3 linked regions of the Notamacropus eugenii genome follow. Each later gene encodes a partner of the first gene's protein in a complex. Links are inferred from orthologs where the notes say so. Each region holds a gene or a part of one and is shown on either strand. Other genes may lie near its edges.

Region 1 (6,875 bases):
TGTGTGTGTGTGTGTGTGTGTGTAATGTTTTATGAAAGACATTGGAAGTGTAAAATAAATCTTTTAAAAATAAACTTATGTGAGCCTAATCAATAAATACACTTGAATCACATAATATCTGGTTTGATGGGTATGAATATAGGTCACAGAGTCACAGATTTAGTTCTGGAAAAGACCACTGAGAGATCATGGGCCATAGTGGGTCAAGGGCTAGCCTTGGAGTGGGGGAAGAATTGTATTCAAAGCCTGTTTCTGACACATTTTAGCTGTATGATCGTGGATGGGTGAGTCGCTTAATGCTCTTAGTTTTCTAGGCAATTCTGTAGACAAGAATGTGTTGGAGCCCAGCTCAAACCTGCTGGTCTATTGTGAAAAATCATCCAACCCTTCCAATCCAGGCTTGATTTATTGTTTTGGTGATTATCCAGACTTAAGAAAGTGATGGAGGAAATATTAATGGTGAAGATTAAAAGTACAAGTGTGTGATATGTTCATTTTTTTGTTTTTCCCAGAGAGCTGGTTCCTAAACATCTACCATACGTCATTATCTCTAATGTATAAGTAAGCTGTTGAGCTACATTGGTTTTGAGAGTTTCCATACCAGAAAGTTCTCTATATCAATGAAATCCCAGACCCAAACAACAACAGAAATGAATAGAGTTGAGCTTAAACTATATTGGTACGTTGGAAAGAGTTCACGTGGTAGAGATGGAAAGAACGATGGACTTGGGCTCAGAAGGACCCAGACCTTCTACCTGTGTGACTTTCTGTAAGTCTCTCTCATTGATAAAATGAGGGCGCTGGACAATAACATGATCTCCAAGGTCCCTTTCAGCTCAAAATCTATGATCTATGAAGAAGACTGCACAAATAAAGCAAACTATAGCCCAATGTGTGATGGAATATTGCTACAGAAAAGCATAATATCACAACTGTCTGGACAAAGCCATGTTAACCTGTCCTTCGATGCCCTGTCCATTACCTAGGAAGCTCTGCTAGATAGTAAAATTTATAAGGAACAATAGGAATAAGTTCTGTATTTAATTAGAAATTATAAACAGAATTCTAAGGCCATGGATTCAGTGAATAATTTTGTTCCACTCCATTCTACAAATATTAATTGAATACCTACTATGTGCATGGCAAAGTGCCTAGTCCTGAGGATAGATGAACAAACAACAGAAAACCCCAACAACTCCAGCACAGTCTCTTGGAGGAATGCTGGTAGAGTGGAAAGAGAATTAGCGTTTGAATGAGACAACATGGACTCTATCTCAACAATGGGAGACCTTGGATGAGTCACTTAATTTCCTTGTCCCTCAGTTTACTCATTTGTAAAATTCATGTAAATTAGCTGGCCTCTGAGGGCCCTTCCTGCTCCAAATCAATGATTCCATGGAGCTTGTAGAACTTATTAGTTGAGGCACCCACGAGGACAGATAAGTGGCATGTAAGGTAGGTTACAATAGAGTACAAGGGAGTAAGAACATAAATTATCACCAAAAAATTGGGGGAAGGAGACAGCTCATTCAGGATTGGCCGAATCATGGGGAAGAAAGTTCTTTCTGCAGTGTGTGGAGACATTTTAACCCTTTACTAGCTAATTTAATATAGTGGCCCCTTTCTTTTCTACGCTGTTGCAACTCTTCTTGAATATAAATGCAAAATAAGACTGTCACGTCATCCTGCGTTATGTCTGTTTTTTCAGAATTTCCTCCTTACGCTAAACCGACACACGGAAGCCAGTAAAAAAGGTTGAGTGGCAGTGAGAACTTAGAGGCAGACTGACAGACGGGGTATGGCCTGTTTGTGTGTAAAGGCATTCAAACAGAAAATGGTGATCTGATCAGAAGAAAATGAGCCCACTTCAGATGTAGTGCTATGGTGTCAGATAGAAAGGCCAACTGGGACATCTCTGCAAAGATCTGGATAAAAACGACATGAAAAAATCCTTGTTGGCACTTTCTAGACTTGCATATGCATTTATATTATGTATAGACATCAACAGGTATATGTATGTGTGTGCGTTTATAAACATCCAGTGTATGTGTATATGTATAAGATACATGGTGTATGTATATGTACACTATATAAAAATATACAGTATATATACATACACACAATGTATACATGTAGTGTGTACACACATATATACATATTGATTCTACATATAATGCATTTGTAAGTATATATGGTATCACGGGCTTACAGTATTTGTATTTTTTTATTTCAATACAGTGTACATGCATACACAAATATATGTACATAATATTGATGTCTATATATAACTGCATATGCAAGTCTATAACATGCCAGCAAGAATTTGTAGTATTTTTTCATACTTATTTTCTACGTACAGCATACATATATACAATATAATATAAATGCATACATATACACACATGTACATACACACATGTACTGGCCTACTGGATAGAAAAACATCCTCAGAACCAGGGAGACATGAGTGCGACCCTTTTTTGACATATATTAGTTGTGTGATCCTGTACAAGTCACAACCTTTCAGAGCACTATAAGTAGAATTCTAAGGCCATGTGATTCAGTGAATAATTTTGGTTCCACTCCATCCACAAATATTTATTGAACACCTACTATGTGCATGGCAAAGTGCCTAGTCGTGAGGATAGATAAACAACAAACTACGACAATCAATTGCAGAGAAGATACAGAACTCTATTGGTAGAGAGAGTTTTCTCATCCAGGAATTGCTTACACCAGTAAAATCCAAGGCCTAATTGCTATCACCACCCTATGCGTGTAAATTTATACATATATAATATATACATATATATATATGTAGGTTTTTATTTTTTAAAAATTTAGTTGAACTTATAACAGCAAAAGCCCAAACTTACCTTCATTTTTGAAACTTCTAATGATATTTGCAGATGGCATTGAAGTTCGATCAGTGGCAAATCTGTTATATAGCTCTAACATGTACTCTGGTGGGTCGACTTTGGCCGAATTGGGCAGGGGGATTTCAGACAGGTTCAATGTCTTCAGAAATTCATTTTTCACACTCTGTAGCAGAGTAGTAAAGTCAACACCATCTTGCTCTGAAAAAACATCATCCAGCAGGGGCAGCTCTTCTTCCAGGGGAGAGTCCTCCAGACTCATGATGGGGTTGCCAGATCCCAAGGAGGCTCCCAGGCACAGGACTGTGTAGAGTGGTAGGAGCTGGGAGCCCATGACTTTGCTCAAGCCCCCAAGCCCAGTGAAGTTTAGGTGTCAGTGGTCCGAGTGGTCCGAATCCTCTGGAGAGGACTTGACTTATGTCATCCGGAGTTGCCAAGTTTGGAAACTCTTTTAGAAGCATTCCCTCACTCTGTCCGTCTCTTTCCCTTCTGTTCCTCCTCTGCCCCCAAAAAAAGCCAGGTTGCTTTAATTGGACAGCAGGATCGCCTATGGGAGCCTAGCCTTTCTTATCTCTTTAGTGTAAACTTGTGCACCAGATTTTGTAGCTATCTCCCAATTCCTTTTTCTTTTAATGAGCATTTTGTAAACACTTCTACATTCTGACACTGGTGAGAAGATAGGACAATTTTCTTCTTGAAAGGGCTCTGTCTTGCTTCCTTTCAAGTAGTCTCTCTCAGCGGACATGGACACTTTTTGATCTTAAACATTTCTAGCTCACAGAGAAGAATGGATTGTCATGCACAAGAACGTAAGGATTGTCAAAAATTAACTCACTTCTTATTTCAATACTTACAGGAACTGCGATTTTGTACATACTGACACCCTGTCCATTGACACAGATCTTGACCTATTTATGACTTAGAAGATATTTTTTGATGGTCATTTCTTTATAGCTAATTGTCTGGTTGTGAGCTTCTCCACAATTAGCAGGGTTGGTCCTCCAATAATAGATACCTAAATCCATTGTCCTTCTGTACGCAATGTCATTTGGCTTCACCAGTGGTGGCCAGAGTTTATCTGCTGCTGGCATGGCCGTGGAAAGCCCATGTTTACCTCCAAACCACAGTGAGACATTAGAAGAGGACCTTAGTGGATGCTAGTCACCCTTACTTAGCTTGTTCCTGCAAGGATCCAGGATTTCCTTGCTTTGGACCCCTTCTCCACTGGCCCAGTTCTCAACCCCTCCATGCCTTAGTCATTGCCCTTCAGGAATTGCCTGGGTCTAAACAAAGTCAACACTACACACAAATTCATTTTTTAAAATAGTGACCCTTACACATTTCTGAAAAACCTCCAAACATCCATCATCACTGAGCTAATGCAAACTTCTTGAAAATTGTTTTGAAAGTCGACATGCTTTTTAGGTATAAAAAGAGACTTGAACTTGAAAATCAAAAGGAGAACAATCGTAAATTAAATAGCACCAAAGCACTCATGAATGCCTGTTAGTGTTTATTTGATTGGAAGCTTTATTACCTGCCTGTTAGTCAGTCAAGAAGCATTTTTAAAGCCCTTACTATGTGCCAGGCACTCTGCTAAGCACTAGAGATATAACAAAAGGCAAAACTAGTCACTAAATAGGGGAAATGACCTGCAAACAACTATTTACATATGGGCTATAAACAGGATAAATAGGAGGAAATCTTGGAGGGACTAAATGTTCACCCCTCAACAACCAAAAGTTTTAATCTTGTTAACGCACATGTTTAGAGAACAAAGATGAAATAGGCTAGGACTTATTCAGGGGGCCGTGTCTACCATGGTGTTTGTTTGGAGCCCTATTAGGTTGTCCCTGAACCAGTGATGATGAACAGAGCCAGGAGGATGCCTATAGGAAAGATGCTGGGTTAGAAGTGAAACATCAGCTCTGATTCTTAATTCTTCTAAAATCTTGACTGAGAATCCCTTGTTCATAGAATTTAGAGTTGAAAGAGAGCTACCTTAGGGATCACATAGTCTAGTCCCCTCATTTTACAGATAAGGAAATTGATGAGAGCAGAAGTCACTTGTAGAAAGTCACACAAGATCTACATGGAATAACCTGGACTTGGATTCAGATGAACGAGTCTTTCCATGACACCTCATTGGCTCATATAATATGGTTCAAACAATAGCTTAGGGATAGCAGAGTTGGAGTCAGGAAGACCTAGGTTCTAACCTTGCTGCAAACACCTCCTAATTGTGGAACTCTGAGCAAGTCACTTAACCTCATGAACCTATTTCCTATTCTGTAAGATGAGGGAATTGAACTGGATGACTTCTAAGGCCCCTTTTAGTCCTAAATCTAAGATCTTTTGAACTCTCTAAAACATTTGAACGACTGACCTAGCAAATTCATTGGCTATAATGAAGGCAAGGGAAAGAAGAAATTGCATGGTTGAATTAATTTTTCTCCCTCCCTCTCTCTTTCTCCATCTCTCTGCTTCTGTCTCTCTTTGTTTCTCTGTGTCTGTCTTTCTATCTGTCTGTCTGTCTCTCTCTCTGACCAAGTTTCCAATTCCTCTTCCTGCCCTCCAACTCTGTAGGCTGTCTGCCCTTTTTGATCTCTGTTCATGATATTGTAGAGTATCCATTCCTTGAGATTACTCCCTAAGTCCTTAGTACTTACAGATATTGGTTCAAATGAAATTCTCTGGTGAAAGTCTCTTCAGTAGCCTTAGACCTCAATCCTGTCATTACTATTTAAAAAAAAAAGTCAGTTATAGACTGTCAATAGGAGGGGCTCAGAATAGCCACACTCCTGGAACCCAGGACTGGTCCTTGTTGCAGTGGTGCTAACATTTTCACATGGAGCTTTCTGACAGCACATCAGCCAGGCCTTGGTTATCCTGGTCTGCATCAAAACAAGCACCCAACTCTCTTCAACAAACAGAGGCATGTCAACACACACTTCAACAAGCTGAATGGCAGGCAGATGCAGAAGGCCTCCATAGGACAGATGTGTGAGGGGCTTCACTGCTAAGTGGAGTGAGCTGTCTCTCCAGGTCATGGGAGAGAGAGAGACATAGACAGAAGCAGAGGCAGAAATAGAGGAATGTAGAGGCATAGAGAAAGACAGACAGAGATAGGGAGATAATGACAGAGAGGCAAAGATTGAGACAAAAAGAGAGAGACTGAGAGAAATAGAGAGAGAAAGAGAAAAAAGAGAGAAGGGGAGATAGAGACAGAGAGAAAGAGTAAGGCAGAGACAGATGGGGGAATCAGACAGAAACAGAGAAATACAGACAGTGACCTAGAGATAGAGAGACAGAGAAAGAAACAGAGAGAAACAGAGATACAATGAGAAACACAGGCAGAAGCAGACACACTCAGAGACGGAAAAACAAGTACCAATGAAGACAGGGAGGGAGATACACAGATCTTCCAGACAGCAGAAATCAGTCTTTGTGCCCACAAGAGCTTAAAAACAAATCCATCTTGTATGTTTCATATGTTCTGTGATCTTTTACTGTCTCAGTGTTGGCAGCAAGGCCTTGTGGGGAGTAAGAGAAGGACCTTGGCTGAAGTCTGAGAGCTGACACTTGAGTGATTGATCCCAAGGCATCAAATGCTTCTTGAGACCAGCTCTGCGCAGACGCTGGGAGTGCTCAGGTTCTCCCTCCAGGTGTGCCACTGCTACCTCAGCTTTAGCCACCTCATCTGTTAGGATGAGAACGTGCACATTCCTTATCCCCGAAAGTTTTTGTGAGTAAAATATTGCTTGAGCTTTCAAATGGCTACAGAATGTGACCCTTAATCTCATTATTATTATTGAAAAGTTGAGTTGCTTTGTGTAATATGCAGCCCAAATCCACTTTGGCATGTTTGTAGCTGGTTCGGAAAGGGTATAATAATGGTAGGTGCGTGTGTATACTTATACACACATATACACATATATGCATGTACATATATGTATTCACAATACTCAATAGTAGACATAGACATACATACATGTACAC
Region 2 (6,875 bases), on another chromosome or scaffold:
TAACTTGAAGTACACTTTGACTATGTCAGGATGGGTAGAAAGTGAAATATCAAATAAACAGAAACTACAGGAAAGACTGAGGAGAGATAGTATCAGAGGTCATAATGTTGTTCACCTGAAAAGACAACCACTTTCCAAAGGGGAGGATGCAATGTGGGGGCAGTGCCTATCAGTGCTGGTTCCAGAGTAAGAGAACTCACATTCAGCAAGTAACTTTATCTCCCCTCGACTCAGTTTCCTCATCTGTAAAATGAGGAGGTTGGCACAGCTGACCTCCAAGGCACCTTTCTATGATCTGTAAGCCTATGAGGAATAGGAGCAGCTCACCACTCCACCAAAGGTAATACCAAAGTGTGAAAGTTCAGCCTAGCAGACAGTACTGGGTAAAGGTCCTTTCACACCACAGGAACACCAGGTACCCTAATCAAGTGCCTTCCCAAAGCTGGCAGAGCAAAAGTAATGAAATATTCTACATATCAGCGATTAGCAAGAGTTCTTAATTCTATTATACATATCCTTCAAAAATTCAGTTTTGTATATCTTTACCTGAGCAGATTTTGAATTCTTCAAAACGTAAATAGAGAAGTAACTCCCCAACCTGTAAGCCAAAAAGGTCTCTCAAGTTTTTTGTGAAGGACATATGAATTCATAAATAAACACGTAAGCAGAATACATCTCACAACACAGGTAGTACTATTTTTCAAATGTATGTACTTAATAAGATGCAAATTCATTTAAAGGTGTTACTGAGTTCATAGTAGATTGTCTTATGTATTTTCCACAACTCCAGTCATGGGAAGGGGTGTGTGTACACGTGTGTGTATGTGAAATCCATGAAATATTCTGACATTAAAAAGGAGTCCTAGCACTGAAAAGATTGAGAAATGCTACACTAGTTAAAGAAACATAATTAAAAATGCTGGGGGTTTTTTGTGAATTAAACCAGTCAAACTTTATAATTCACTATACCTACACCACAAGCTATGATTTAAATGGCAACAAAAAAAGTCCCAAACTCTTTTTAGGTTATCATTCTAAAAACTTTTATTATTAGAGATAGAAAATAATGTTTAAATCCATAATTTTATCCTACTCTATGGAGGTCATATCACGAATGATTTCATTGGAGAGGCAGACTACCATAGTGACTAGGACCTTGGACTTGGAGTTGAGAGGGTCTGAATTCAAATCCTAACTTACCAGTACTAGTTACTTATTTGTTGAGTGATCCTGGTCAAGCCACTTAACCTTTCTGAGCCTTAGTTTCCTCACCTGTAAAATGGGGATAATAATAGTGCCTAATACGGATCAACTGAAATAGCATGTTAGGAAAATCAAAGGAAGTAACAGGTAAAGCACTTTGCAAAAAGTAAAATGCTATATAAATGCTACATATTATTGAATTTACATTCCAGTACAGCCGCAGGCACAACAAAAATGCTGACATAAAAATGCTGAAAGCCATGATGTCTGTTTCCCACTGCACCTTGCTGGAAAATCACTGCCATTTACTTTTTTAAAATTTTGCATTTAACATATGCAGCTTCCATATGTAGATTAAAATGCTACATATGAAGGATGTTTCACTACCTAACATAGTCACAAAGAAATTTTAAAAAAGTTATTTGTTCCCTAAAAGAGATAAATAAGGAGGCAAAATAATTAATCTATTACACTGAATACTGAGTTTTAAAATATTTTCAACTGAAAATACCAAATTATTTTTATATTATAAACATATTCATCCTAAAAGTAAAAGGCAACATCAAAATATCCTAGGCACAAAAGTCACTATAACATGTGTTGTTAACAAGCAATCTTTCTCGAAGCAGGCCCTTTTTAAAAAATGGAAAACAAGGAAGCACACCCTGCGCTTATCAAGAAGCTCACACAACGTTACCGTATGTATGGAAACATTGTCAAATTTTCCTTGTGGTTAAATTAGTAATCTGTATGCTATTTTTAAACAGAGACAATATTATAAGTACGGTTCGATAGTGAAGATGAGTAACTGATTACATAAAATAGTTCTATATTTTGTCTTCCAAGCAATGGATAAAACACTGAAAGATTTCCACAAACTGGAGGAATAGCATGTCTAAAAAGGAGGGGTGACTGCTATAACTCATAAACTACAGTAATACTTCAAGTCTCACAAGACTCACACTCTTAAAGTTGTCTCAGTGACTGGAAAGTGATGTCAGAAAATATCTCTGTCCAACAGCAACCCTAAAAATACAGGAAAATATGGGGAACGAGTTTACCAGCTTCAGAGAATTAATCCCTGACATGCTTGTCTGTCCAAAAAGACCAGCAATTAATAGTATTACAACACCTGAAGAACATCACAGATCTGCTCATCATCATCTAATCTAGCCACTCAGGAACATATGAAAATAACACGAGTAATCTGGAGCTAACAACATTCCCCCCAAAAATGTTCCAAATTCAAAAATTAATAGTCCTGCATACGCTGTAATAAAAATGCCAAGCTTTAAACATAAATCTGCGTCTTTGAAAACTGAAAGCTCTATTCCCAAAGATCTCATAATGGCACACACAGTTCAGTGGTGATTAAAACATTATTTTTAATTCTCGCATTACCTCACAGCTAAAAATGTCATGATACCACACCCACTATGCTTTTTTCCTAGTTGGGGAAAAAATACCAAGAGAAATGTATAAATAACACCAATATGTTAAGTGATTAAATTCCAGTTGACTGAATGGAAAAACGTATGCAATTATTATACAGTTTTTCTCCCCGAAATAGTTATTCGATCCGCATCGGCGCCTTGACTGGGACAGCAGACAGCCTGCTTTTTCCTCGATCACACGCTCAGTTAAATGCCAGCCCTGCCCCTTCTCTCCCCCACCCCAGATGGAAATAGCTGGCTAGTCAACAGCACCCAGAGGCTACTCACCAGCCGCAGTGCTGATCAGCAACACCGTCCAGGAAAGCAGCAGCAGCGGCCCGAGGCTTTGCAGAGGGGCAGTCATACCTGGGCAAGCCACGGAGCCAAAGAGGGTCACGAAAATAGGAGAGAAAGGGAGAAGCGCCGGCAGGAGGAATCCCCCCCTCCTTTTCCCGTTTTGAGTTATCTTGATGTTCCTGCTTGGAATTCTCACAATGCAGTTTGAAAGGACAAACAGCAGATGCTTAAAGGACCCGTCTGCAGAGCTGGGACTCCACTGCAGAACATTCCCTTCATTTCTCTCCTCCTCGGACGTGGTTCAGGCCAGGGGGGCCGCGCGGCTGTGCCCTCCAAACAGGATGCATGCTCCGGACCGAGAGGTGGAGAGGGGTGGGGGCCGGGGGCGTCTGCGGAATCACCACGATGCTTTCCCACGTAGTTTCACAATATCGAAAAATGAGCCCGGTTTGGAAGGAAACATAGCCAGGGAGCAGGTGCGAGTAGGGGGAGGTCTTCCGAGGCAGACCGAGGGGGGCGGGGGGAGCCCCTACAACGTCGCCCCTACAACTTCCCTGCGTGGGGAAGGGGCGATGCCGGCGGTGGCGTCAAGCCCGGGGCTCCAGGCCGCATCGCGCGCCGCTCCCGCTCCTGGTGCGTGGTGGGGGGCTAGGGGAACAGGCCGGCTCCGTGGGTGGGGGGCACGTCCCTCCTAAGGAAGTTTCGCTTCAAATCACTTCGATTTCAAGGCGGACGAGATGCGCAAAGGTGACTCCCCCCATGATCCGCCCGGGCCGCCGAACCGAAACCAGTAAGCCCCCGGCGCGTGCGAATGCCAGGGACCGAGGGAGGAGGGCAGGCCGGACGGGGTCCCCCCGGCCTCTTCTTCTCCTTGGGCCGCCTCCTTTTACGCTCCAAGTCCCGGGACCGCGGCTCCGCGAGCCGCTCCGAGGTCCATTCCCCCGCCGTCCGGGTCTCGTCGTCGCCTCCTCCTCCCGTCAGCGGTCCCCCAGCGTCGCCCCCCCCGCCCCCCGAGGAAGCCGGGGCTGCCGCCGCCGGGTCGCGCCCCGCGCCCTCCTCGCTCGGCTCTCCCGCTGCGGAGGCTGGGGCTGCGGCTCCTCGACGCCCGCTCCCCGCGGGGCTCGTGGGGGGAGGGGGCGGCGGCGCGGGGATGGAGGCGCCCGGGGAGGGGGAGGGGGCACCTAGACACACCGCACCCCGGCGGAGAGAGCAGCTCGCGAGCCTCGGACCAGAGCAGACCAGACACAAAGGGGGGAGACGCTGCAGCTGCCAGTCTGCGGCGCTCCGGTCACCGGGCGTCGCCCCGCCCCCTCCTCCACCTCCTCCTCAGTCTCTGTCTCTTCTCGGCCCCGTCTGTCTCCAGCCTGCGGTCGAGCCCGGGTGGTGGTGGCGGCGGCGGCGGCGGCGGCGGCTACGGAGGAGCACCACTGCGGCTGCGCGGCCTCGCGAGCCCCACCTAGCCCCGCCCCTCCCTCGAGCCTCGAACTGGGAGTGAGTGAACCCTCCCCCTTTCCGGTGGGTTTCACTAGTCTAGAGCCTGGAACTTGGGCGGGGGATGGGAACTAGGGTCAAAACTAGCAGCACACACGCACACACATCCCCTTTCTACACTAGCTTGTTGCACGTTCAGTTTGGTGTGTGTGCGCGTGTGTGTGTGTATGTGCGCGTAGGGAGGGAAAAGAAAGGGGAAAGCGCGATAACATTTTCTCGTAAGAGCTCTGCGAACTTCTGGGAGCAGTGATTTTCACCCAATCTCCGCCTCTCCCCTCGACGATTGGCTCATAGAAGTGTACTCTGGGAGGGTCCTCTTAGTTCATTGGTTCTCGGGGAGAAAGGTGGCCTACCTGGGAGTTGTAGTCCCAGGTACCAAAAAAAAAAAAAAAGAGAGAGAGAGAGAATTGAATTACGAGCTGGACTCGATTCTCCCTGGGAATCCGAGCGCTTGGTCTTCCTGTATGTATCCTTTCCTGATTTAAAGAAAAGCGAACAAATTCAGCAAAACAAAGCCAACCTATTTTCCTCCTAACCCCAAAATGCTCTCCCATAAATACTCTCTCCATCTTCCAAACCCTTCCTGATAGCCCCTAGAGACCTCGTGGAACAACTGGCTTCTAAAGCGCTGTCCTCCCAGCCGGTCCCACGGATGCTGAATAAAGCTTTGTACTGCATGGAAGGGTCTGGCACAGGCTATCCCCCACCCACAAAGCTGGAAGTCGCTTCACTTCCCTTTGCTCCAGGCAGCCTTTGTCAAAGGAGCATTAAGCATCAGAGGTGGTGTTTAAACCTGAGCACTCTCACTCCAGCCCTTCATTTTCCCAAAACGACATTCCCAATCTCTTTATCAGAAAGACCTGAGTTCAAAATACGACCTCAGACACTTCACTTCACTTCTGGCTGTTTACTCATCAATGAAATGGGGATGGGAGGGTGTATGGGGATTAGGACAGATAATACTGGAAAAGCGCTTCGCAAACTTTAAAGTGCTAGCTATTTTTACTATGGCTCCTTTACAATTCACTGGAGGGGGAGGAGGGAAGACTTTAAAAACAGACCATGGAGAGGTTGCTTTTCTAATGCATTTTTTTCTTTTTTTAATTATGCCTTTTGCATGACCTGCCTCAAGTCTGGAGAACTGCGAAAGTCCCATTTGGATGGTCCCATTTTTTCCATTTGCTTGTACCCAGACAGCAAGGATTAGGAGAGGATGTTTCTTTGCCTCCTCCCACCAGGAGCCCAAACAGCCCGCTGCGGCAGACGCAGACGCTGGTGGGGGTGGGGGGCTGTTTCAGGGAAGGGGAGGGGCTCGGAGCCCGGTGACGCGAGCTCCCAGTCTCGCCATGTTCGGAAGCAGTCTGCAGCTGGCACTCCGCCTGCGGGAGAAGAGCCTGCGTAGGAGGGCAAGGGGGAGGCGTTCCCCCGTCCAGCCTTCTCTTTTCCCCTGGAGCGCTGGAGTTATTCCCGAGGCAGGTTTGGCAGGTCCATGCTCTGAGCCTCGAGGAGTTACAAAAACATGTAGGCACTATTTAATGAACCTCCAACCCTCTGCTCTTAATCCACAGCTTTCCCTCATCTGAACACCTTTTTACATAAATATTATTTTATTCAAGTCATTGTAGCTCCTGGTGAAACTGGCATCGTATACTGCAGTGATGCAAGGTAAAGGAAATGCCAGCTCCGCCTGGGTTCCCAGACATTTTTGTAGCATGGTGTTTGCTAGAAGTCTTTCTCTATAGAACCACATACCCTTTATCCAAACATTAGTATCATAATGGCTGTTATTACTTGTGTATAAAAGGACGTACGTGTAAAGTAGTATTAGCCCCATGAGATGGGAAGTTTAAGAGGGACCTTCCACCCAAGTCTCTGGAATAGGGATGAAAGGAAAAGCTACGGATGGCACATGGACTGCTTTAGAGGCTAAACATTATCTAACAGCTCTCTTGTCGGGGTCAATACCCATTTTTCAGTGAAGTTCTGCCAGTTCCAAATGAAGCTCAAGGTTGAAGTGGTCAAAAGGGGATTCAGTGGCTCAGGGAAAACTGCCAAGTAAGTTTCTGCCTAAGAAACATTTGACATACGCAGAAGTCTAAAATATTTGTACAGATCTGATGTGAATGTACTCTAGTTTATAGATGAGGACAGAATTTAGTCCTGCAAAAAACAAAGCAAACCCATTTTCTTACTTACTTGAAAAAAAAGCAAAGGTAGAACTCAAAAAATTAAGGTTTTGTGACAGTTTGCAGGTTATTAACTAGCATTGTACTTTTTCTTCCAAAATCTGGCTATTTAAAATGAAAAATTAAAACAAACTACCTCACAAATTATATGTTGCAGCCGACATTCAACTTTTGTTTATTTATATGGCATTTTCCCTCAGAAAATCATACCCATGTGTAGCATCTAAAGTACTAGAAGGAATAGGCTGTAGACAACCCTCCACGT
Region 3 (6,875 bases), on another chromosome or scaffold:
GGAACACATTCCAGACATGGGGGAAGGTCTGTGGGAAGGCACAAAGACAGCAGATGGAATTTTGGGAACACTAGCAGGCCAGTTTGGCTTGACTGTACAATGAGTGAAAGGGGGTAATATGAGATCTCTACAAAGGCATGTTGGAGCCAGAGTGGGGAGGGCTGAAATGCTAGTTGGAGGAGTTAGTTTTTATCCCAGAGGAAATAGGGACCCACTAGAGTATTTTTGAGCAAACATAAGGCCTGTACTTTAGGAAGATTGTTTTTGCAAACTCTATGAAACGTGTATTGGAGAAAGGAAGAAACTGGAAGCAGAGAGCCTCATTAAAAAGCTGCTGCAATCATACTAGGATGATGGCGGTCCTCAACTAGGGTAGGGGCCATGGGAATGGAGAGAAAGGTTCAGATGCAGGAGATGTTATGGAGGCAAAATGCAGAAGACTTGGATATGACCAACTATGATTCCATATTTCTTCCTCCCTTTAGATCATCCCTCACCTGAGAGTGCCAGAGTCAAAGAAGGGAAAACCTTACAACACGATATGGCACTGGGTAGGGCTAATTACTAAACAGAAGAAAGAAGAAACAGATTTCATCATCTAAGTAGACGTACAACATGGTCCTTTCTGGGTAGAGTCCTAAACTGCCCTTAGAGAAAGATCAATTTGCCCAAACAAGCATATATTATCATCTCTTCAGGAAAAGGGAGGAAGTATAATGGTCTAGACAGTATGCACAGTAGATGTTGGTCTACAGAGCCAAGGTGGTCAGGGAGAGTAGGGTAAGGGGAGTGTCCCAAGATGGCAGGGAATGGGTTTACAGGAGAGTCAGAAGAAAAAAACAGAAATGCTGGCCCCCTAAAGGACTGTCTCTTAAGGAGGGCCATAGGAGCATAGAATTTAGAGCCAAGATCATCTTTTCCCATTTCCCATTTTAAAGATAAGGAAATTGAAGGTGAGAAAGGGTAATAGCTAGTAAATGTCTAAGTCAGGACTTGACTTAGATATCATACTCCCTTTGGCAATAAAAGGGTTGTGGCTATGGGGTTAGAGTTATGGGGTCAGATTGGGGGTCCAACCCATCAAGAGCCCTGAAATCTAGGGGAAGACCTAACTGAGACAAAGGTCAAGAAGAGGCCAGAACTTCCAGTCCTGGAAAGGGTCATCACTTGTGGTAGAGACCAACTTGATTCTGCCCACATACATGGGATTTAATATTTCAGAAAAACCTCCTTTGGAGCCAATGGAACAGAAAGGAACTCCTGATAAGATTCTGCAGCCTTACTTGAGGTCCCCAGGATACTTCCAGTTTATTCCTTTACATTAAAACTTTCAGTGGCTCCCATCACCTACCAAATAAAATAAAACCTCCTGGCCCTGTTATTTAAGGTCCTTTGCAAAGTGATGCAAACTCACTATTAAATCATGCATAATTCTTCCTGTTGGTGGCATATCGACTTAGAAAACCACAAATTAACATTATCTATGTTCTATTGTATTTTAATTTATTTTTGTTAAACATTCCCCAATTACATTTTAATCTGGTTCCTATATAATAGGCACCTCTGCCTACAACATCTGTACCACATGTCTTTATCTCATACTATTTTCCTTCATGAGATTACTCTCCATTCCCATTCTCTACCTGCTGGCTCTCATCTGTGTCCCTTCACTCTTAATCATACCCCATGCCTGAAAAGGATACCTCTACTCCTATCTCCAGCCTTTTAATCCCCTCTTCTTTCAAAGCCACATCCTCCAAGAAATCTCCCCTGAGACTGTCCCCACCCCCTCCCCCAACCTCCTTTGATTCTTTTCCTCCTTAAGTGTCCCATGACACCTTACCAGGATTCTCCTTTGCACTTATCTCACACCCCCTTATATCATAGCTGCTTATATAATTGTCCTTCCACTCTTCCCCATTTAGATCACAAAGTCCTTAAAAGCAGGATTAATATCATACCTTTGTACCCTCAGCAGCTTGCACAGAGTAGGTCTTTAAAGATAATTAAGTTCAACTAAATCAATGCAGAAAAGACTATATACACTTTAGAACTGGGACATGTTACCAAAAAGTGCTAAAAAAAAAAAAAGTGAGGGAAATGGTGTGATGAAGAGATCAGATATTTAGAGGACAGATGGGTCACACCAAGTCTGTAGAAAGGAGAGTTGGAGAAAGACTCAAGAAACTAACATGGTCATCCAGAGAGCTCAGTCCCAGGACCACGCTTTAGAAGATAAGAGGCATCTATTCACTGGAAAAGCCCATCTACCCTTGCAAATCAGTAAATCAACATATTGGTGCTGGTAAACAGGGGAGGGGGAATCTAGAAGGTGTAGTTTGGCAATCTGATTTGGGAGTGAGATAGTGCAACTGAGAAGGATGATCTTGGGAAGTTCAGAGCCTATGGGTTACCTAAACAACATTATTTAACTAGTGATCCCTATGTGTTGGGGACCAGAGTTATAGACTAGGGATTAGAGGTTTAGGCCTATGGAGTGGAAGTCATAGGAATTCCAATTATAAGGCCGAGGTTTTCTGGGAATAGGGATATCCCATCCTGGAATCACAATATGGGCTTCACGCCTGGAAATCAGCGAATTTTTCCCCCTCCCTACTCCCCAAGGGCTGACCCCAACTCACCTCCCTGCTCTGCCCTAGGCTGTAGCCAGAGGGCTAGCAGCCCTGGGACTTGGGGGGTGGCGGACAAGGGGGAGGTGTGGACTCAGGCCAGCTCCTCTCCTCCCACGCCCCTGACACCCCTGACTCCTCCTCCTCCTCCTCCTCCTCTGGATCTGAGTTGCGGATGCTCTGCCGCCGGGCCCTCGCTGGGGTCCTGGGGCCCTTGGGGGCCCGGGGATAGGGTGGGGATGCTCTCGATCCCCTCTCCAGCCCCGCTGAGCCCTGGGGGCCGCTTGCTCGGCCCGCCGGCACTCGGGAAAGACCAGGCAGGAGTTGTAAAGTGTCTTCTTCCAGCTTCTTCCTGCCTGGCCCTACTCCGCCACTCCCTCCCCTGTAATATACCGTTTCCTATTGCCAAACGCGTTTACAGGGACTGCTCTCTCCCTGTTTATGGGGCCGCCTCCCCTCTCTTCCTCGCCAGCTGACCATTCCCTCCGGTCTCCCCCGCACCCCCTCCACAAACCTCCCACATCCGCTGCTCCCTCCAGCCCAGCCCAGCCCCGGCTCCAGCTCCCTGGCCTTGCTCGGGAATGGGGATGAAGTGGGGGGGTAGGGCCCCCGCTTTGGGGGCTGGAGTCACCAAATGCAAATCATCATCAGCTCCAAAAGCCCAGCTGCTCCATGTGAGGTAGTGGGGTCCAGAGCCTCTGCTGCTCAAGGCAAGCATCCCAGTGTAAGGAACGAATAGCCCGGCTCTGGGACCTCCGACAAGTTAGCTCGCTTGTCTGTGCTTCATATCCTAACCTATAAAATGAGGAGTACTTACTCTCCAATGCTCTTTTTAACTCTTAAAAAAAATGGATTATAATCTATTCTCTCCTTAAGGCTGTCCCCAGTGAGAGGGTTAGGAGCCAGGCTGAGCAGTGGGGGAGTGAGAGATTCTGGAAAAAGTAGCTCAGGCCTGAAATTGTAAGTCATATCTCAAGGGTGTTGGAAGGGTTTGTTCAAGTCTGTGCCAAGACATACCTGTTGGGACGAGTCCGTTCCAAATTTGGGGTAGTCACCGGGAAGGAACCAGAGTGAGCCTCTTGGGACTAACCTTTCCTATTCCCTGCTCTCCACCATTGTTGGGAAAGGGGTTCATCAAAGGAGCATAAGGAAACACAAAGGGGAAAAAATAAATGGAGTTCCCCAAATGAGGTGGGATTGGGCCATCTCTTTGTAATGGTAGAGAAGGGTCTGGGAATCAAAGGGTACCACAAGCTGGCTAAGCAACAGTTGCAAGGATTGAGTTGCTTCTGCTTTATCTCAGCTCCTTTGGTGACTGACTTCCTTTCCTCTGTTGACATGTTATTATCAGTTGTGAAGACTATGAATTTCCAGAACCTGTTTGAGATATAGCAAGGGTTAAGAAAAAAGAAATCAAAGTGGAAAAATTAAGGCAAGAAGCAACAGGGAGAGAGAAACAAGGACGGAATGCTAAGCATCTAAAGGTAGTGGAGCTGGTGGGCAAAGGGGAAAGAAAAGTCTTTCAGAAGGGCTCTTCCTGGAGGGCTTTTTTGGAGAAGAGTAGATCAGAGGTCTGAAGGGGAAGGACAGGGCTGGGATAAGAGTGGGGAGGTGAGAGATATTCAGAGTCTCTGCTCTTCTCTCCATTTTAATCAGCCATCGCTGACCTAGTTTACAGTCTTCTGTTCAGTGACACATGGATTGGGAAAGAGCTAAAAGTCAGACCTCTGAAGAAAGGGGAAAGGAATTAGAATCTGTGTCCAAGTCTACAACGATTTACTGCTCAGAGGGACCAGCTGTTCCCCATATCCAGGGAGGAAGCAGGCCAAAGGCAGATACTGAGATTAGACATGCAGAAGAACTTCCCAGTTGAGTCAGGCAGGAGACAGGGGAGCAGGGGCCCAAGGGAGCTTGGGAAGTGAGATTTTAAAACCTAGGAAATACATGTCTGAGGCTAGAGAGGTGGGAGAGGGTAGAGAGGGAGTTGTCATTTTGAGTCCAGACTTGGAGCATGATAGAGGCAGAGTAGAGTGGGGGGGTGATGAATTAGAAAGCATTTGTAGCCAGAATTAGATGGGAAATTTCCTTGTGTCCTCTTTGCATTAGGAAGGGAAGGGGAACAAAGATGGGGCTAAATCGCCAAGGGGTGGAGGAGGTCTCATGGATCCCTCACTCCTCTGAATACTAACAACAGCTAGTGTTTTAATCAGAGTAGCTTGGCCCTTAATTATAGGATGTCTTCTGTAATTGTCCCAACTAGATTGTGAGCTCCCGGAAAACAAGTCTCTCAAGCTCTCTTGGCTGCCTTTTCCCCATATATAAAAAGAAGTGTTGGAACTAGACTACCTCTGAGGCCTTGTCCAGCTTGAAATGTGTGAACCAATGATCCACAGTCACTCAGGGCGCTGACTCAGAGAAGATTTCACAGCTTATCAGAGCTAGACAGGGTCATCCAAATTGGTTAGTAACTAGCTTCTTGGCCAACCCCTCCTTGTACAGGTGAGGCCCACAGAAATGTAGCTTATCCAAAGTTCTATAGAGAGTAAAGAGGGAATGGAGCCAGGATTTGAACTCAGTTCTTTTGACTCTAATTCCATTCCTCTAGGCTCTGACTCTCCAGACTTCTTTCTCTACCAGGCTCCAGAAAACCTCAACCCAGGAAGATTCCTGGGGCCCCTTCCCCTGATCTAGCAGTTCCTCCCAGAAGCTCCATTTTAAGGAAGGGCCCAAGGCCAACCATGCTCACATTCCCCTTCCTCTTCAAGTTCCACTCCCAATACTCCAAACTTCTTTCTCATATCTCCTTACACTCCCTTTTCCTAGCTTTCTGTTATGTTTTTCACCATTAGAATGTAAACTCCTTGACAGCAGAAGCTCTCTTCCTTCCTTCCTTCCTTCCTTCCTTCCTTCCTTCCTTCTTTTCATTCCTCCTTCCTTCTTTCCTTCCTTCCTTCTTTCCATTCTCCAAGGGCTAATTTACAGCTTTGGTGCCAGATACCAAGGACAAGAGAGGTCCCTAATGGGCTATGTACCATTATTTTAGCTGACTGTTCCTCCTCTACTCTCTGCTATCCACCTTGTAATTGCCCCAACCTCCCAATAAGTGCTGTAACCTAGAGAAGGAGAATCTCCATCCTAGACCAGGTGAGATTTCTGTATCTGGTCCTAGACCTCACAATGTCAGAGGGATATGGAGGCTTTGGGGGTCATGAGGAGTAATCAGAGGAGGGACACAGAGACTGAGAATAAGACCTGTGACCAAAGAGGAAAGAGCTAAAGATTGGGGGCAGGTAGTTGGAAACTGGGACTGAGAGAAAGGCTGAAATATGAGGAAGGATGATTCTTTATCACAGAGAACAAAAACTTAGATGTGGGAGATTTAGGTCCTGGACTCCAAGGCAGAAGGATGGATGAAGTGACCCGTTAGATGTCATCTATCTCAGACAAGCTGGCACCCCCTGGTTTCCCCAGCCCCTCTCTCTGCAGCTGACAGGATGTATAAGGTACTGGAATGGGGGGAGTGGGGGAAGGGCAGAGAGTGGAGAAGTTAATGGTCTTAGAAGTTCAGGAAGGGACTGGTAGACCTGCAACAGGGGATGCCAGACAAAGGGCCAGTGAGTCATCTTCCTCTTCTGTTCCCAGCTACTGTTTACATCTTGGGATCTCCAAGCATTGTTCTTCTTTGGAGCTGGTGAACAAGGATAGGGCCTGACTGTCTTGCCTATTCTTTCCTATAATCTTTAATAAAGGATCATTATTCAAATTTGTATAGTTAAAGCATAATTTATCCATGATGATCCTGTGAGCTATGTAGATGCATAGCATTATTATACCCATTTTACAGATAGGTGAAGTGATTTGCCATGATTATACCTTGTATTTACACCTACATTTTCTGACTTCTTTCCACTGGATCCATGGTCCTTCCTTTCCTCACTTAGATCTGGTCTTGACTCCCTAGACATGCCCACTTAATGGGATACCCTTTCACATAGGGTGCCCAGACCCACTCTGCAGGAGTCAGTTTTCCTAAACCAAAGTGACCAGCCGCTTCTACCCTCTTCTCGTATAGGAGAAGCCAGTCAGTTGTCCTGCCTCATATCGAGCCTTAGAGAGCTCATAAAGTCAAAATCAGACACACATACAACACGAAATGGAAATAGTAAAATAAACAGATCTAGGAGCACAAGATATTTAGAGAACTCTTAACACAGAGCTGGGATAAACCTTGGACTAGTTCAATCC

The links.
Region 2: the proteins of BMP10 (region 1) and BMPR2 are in contact, whole or in part, in a crystal structure (PDB 7PPA), measured with the Homo sapiens proteins. The link is inferred for Notamacropus eugenii from reciprocal best matches to the Homo sapiens genes BMP10 and BMPR2. Residues at the interface, in NP_055297.1 of Homo sapiens: Tyr329, Lys333, Asp338, Ser339, Trp340, Ile342, Ala343, Pro344, Pro345, Gly346, Tyr347, Glu348, Glu395, Pro396, Ile397, Ser398, Ile399, Leu400, Leu402, Val407, Tyr409, Phe411, Ala417; in NP_001195.2 of Homo sapiens: Asp38, Ser64, Tyr67, Leu69, Lys81, Cys84, Trp85, Ser86, Ile88, Gly89, Asp90, Pro91, Gln92, Glu93, Thr103, Thr104, Pro105, Pro106, Ile108, Tyr113, Phe115.
Region 3: the proteins of BMP10 (region 1) and ACVRL1 are in contact, whole or in part, in a crystal structure (PDB 6SF1), measured with the Homo sapiens proteins. The link is inferred for Notamacropus eugenii from reciprocal best matches to the Homo sapiens genes BMP10 and ACVRL1. Residues at the interface, in NP_055297.1 of Homo sapiens: Tyr322, Asn357, Tyr358, Pro359, Ala361, Glu362, His363, Pro366, Thr367, Lys368, Ile371, Leu375, Leu378, Lys379, Ser381, Lys386; in NP_000011.2 of Homo sapiens: His40, Val54, Val56, Arg57, Glu58, Glu59, His66, Gly70, Asn71, Leu72, His73, Glu75, Leu76, Phe84, Val85, His87.

The regions. Positions count from the first base shown.
Region 1 is NC_092872.1:632,854,703-632,861,577, forward strand, and holds the start of BMP10 (bone morphogenetic protein 10), read right to left. Parts: upstream 3,367-6,875; 5' UTR 3,211-3,366; coding exon 2,877-3,210; intron 1-2,876. UniProt on the Homo sapiens protein: Required for maintaining the proliferative activity of embryonic cardiomyocytes by preventing premature activation of the negative cell cycle regulator CDKN1C/p57KIP and maintaining the required expression levels of cardiogenic factors such as MEF2C and NKX2-5.
Region 2 is NC_092877.1:298,672,425-298,679,299, reverse strand, and holds the start of BMPR2 (bone morphogenetic protein receptor type-2), read right to left. Parts: upstream 3,745-6,875; 5' UTR 3,001-3,744; coding exon 2,925-3,000; intron 1-2,924. Other genes in the region: uncharacterized protein, read left to right, coding at 3,745-4,428. UniProt on the Homo sapiens protein: On ligand binding, forms a receptor complex consisting of two type II and two type I transmembrane serine/threonine kinases.
Region 3 is NC_092874.1:224,311,426-224,318,300, reverse strand, and holds the start of ACVRL1 (activin receptor type-1-like), read right to left. Parts: upstream 3,441-6,875; 5' UTR 2,643-3,440; intron 1-2,642. UniProt on the Homo sapiens protein: Type I receptor for TGF-beta family ligands BMP9/GDF2 and BMP10 and important regulator of normal blood vessel development. On ligand binding, forms a receptor complex consisting of two type II and two type I transmembrane serine/threonine kinases.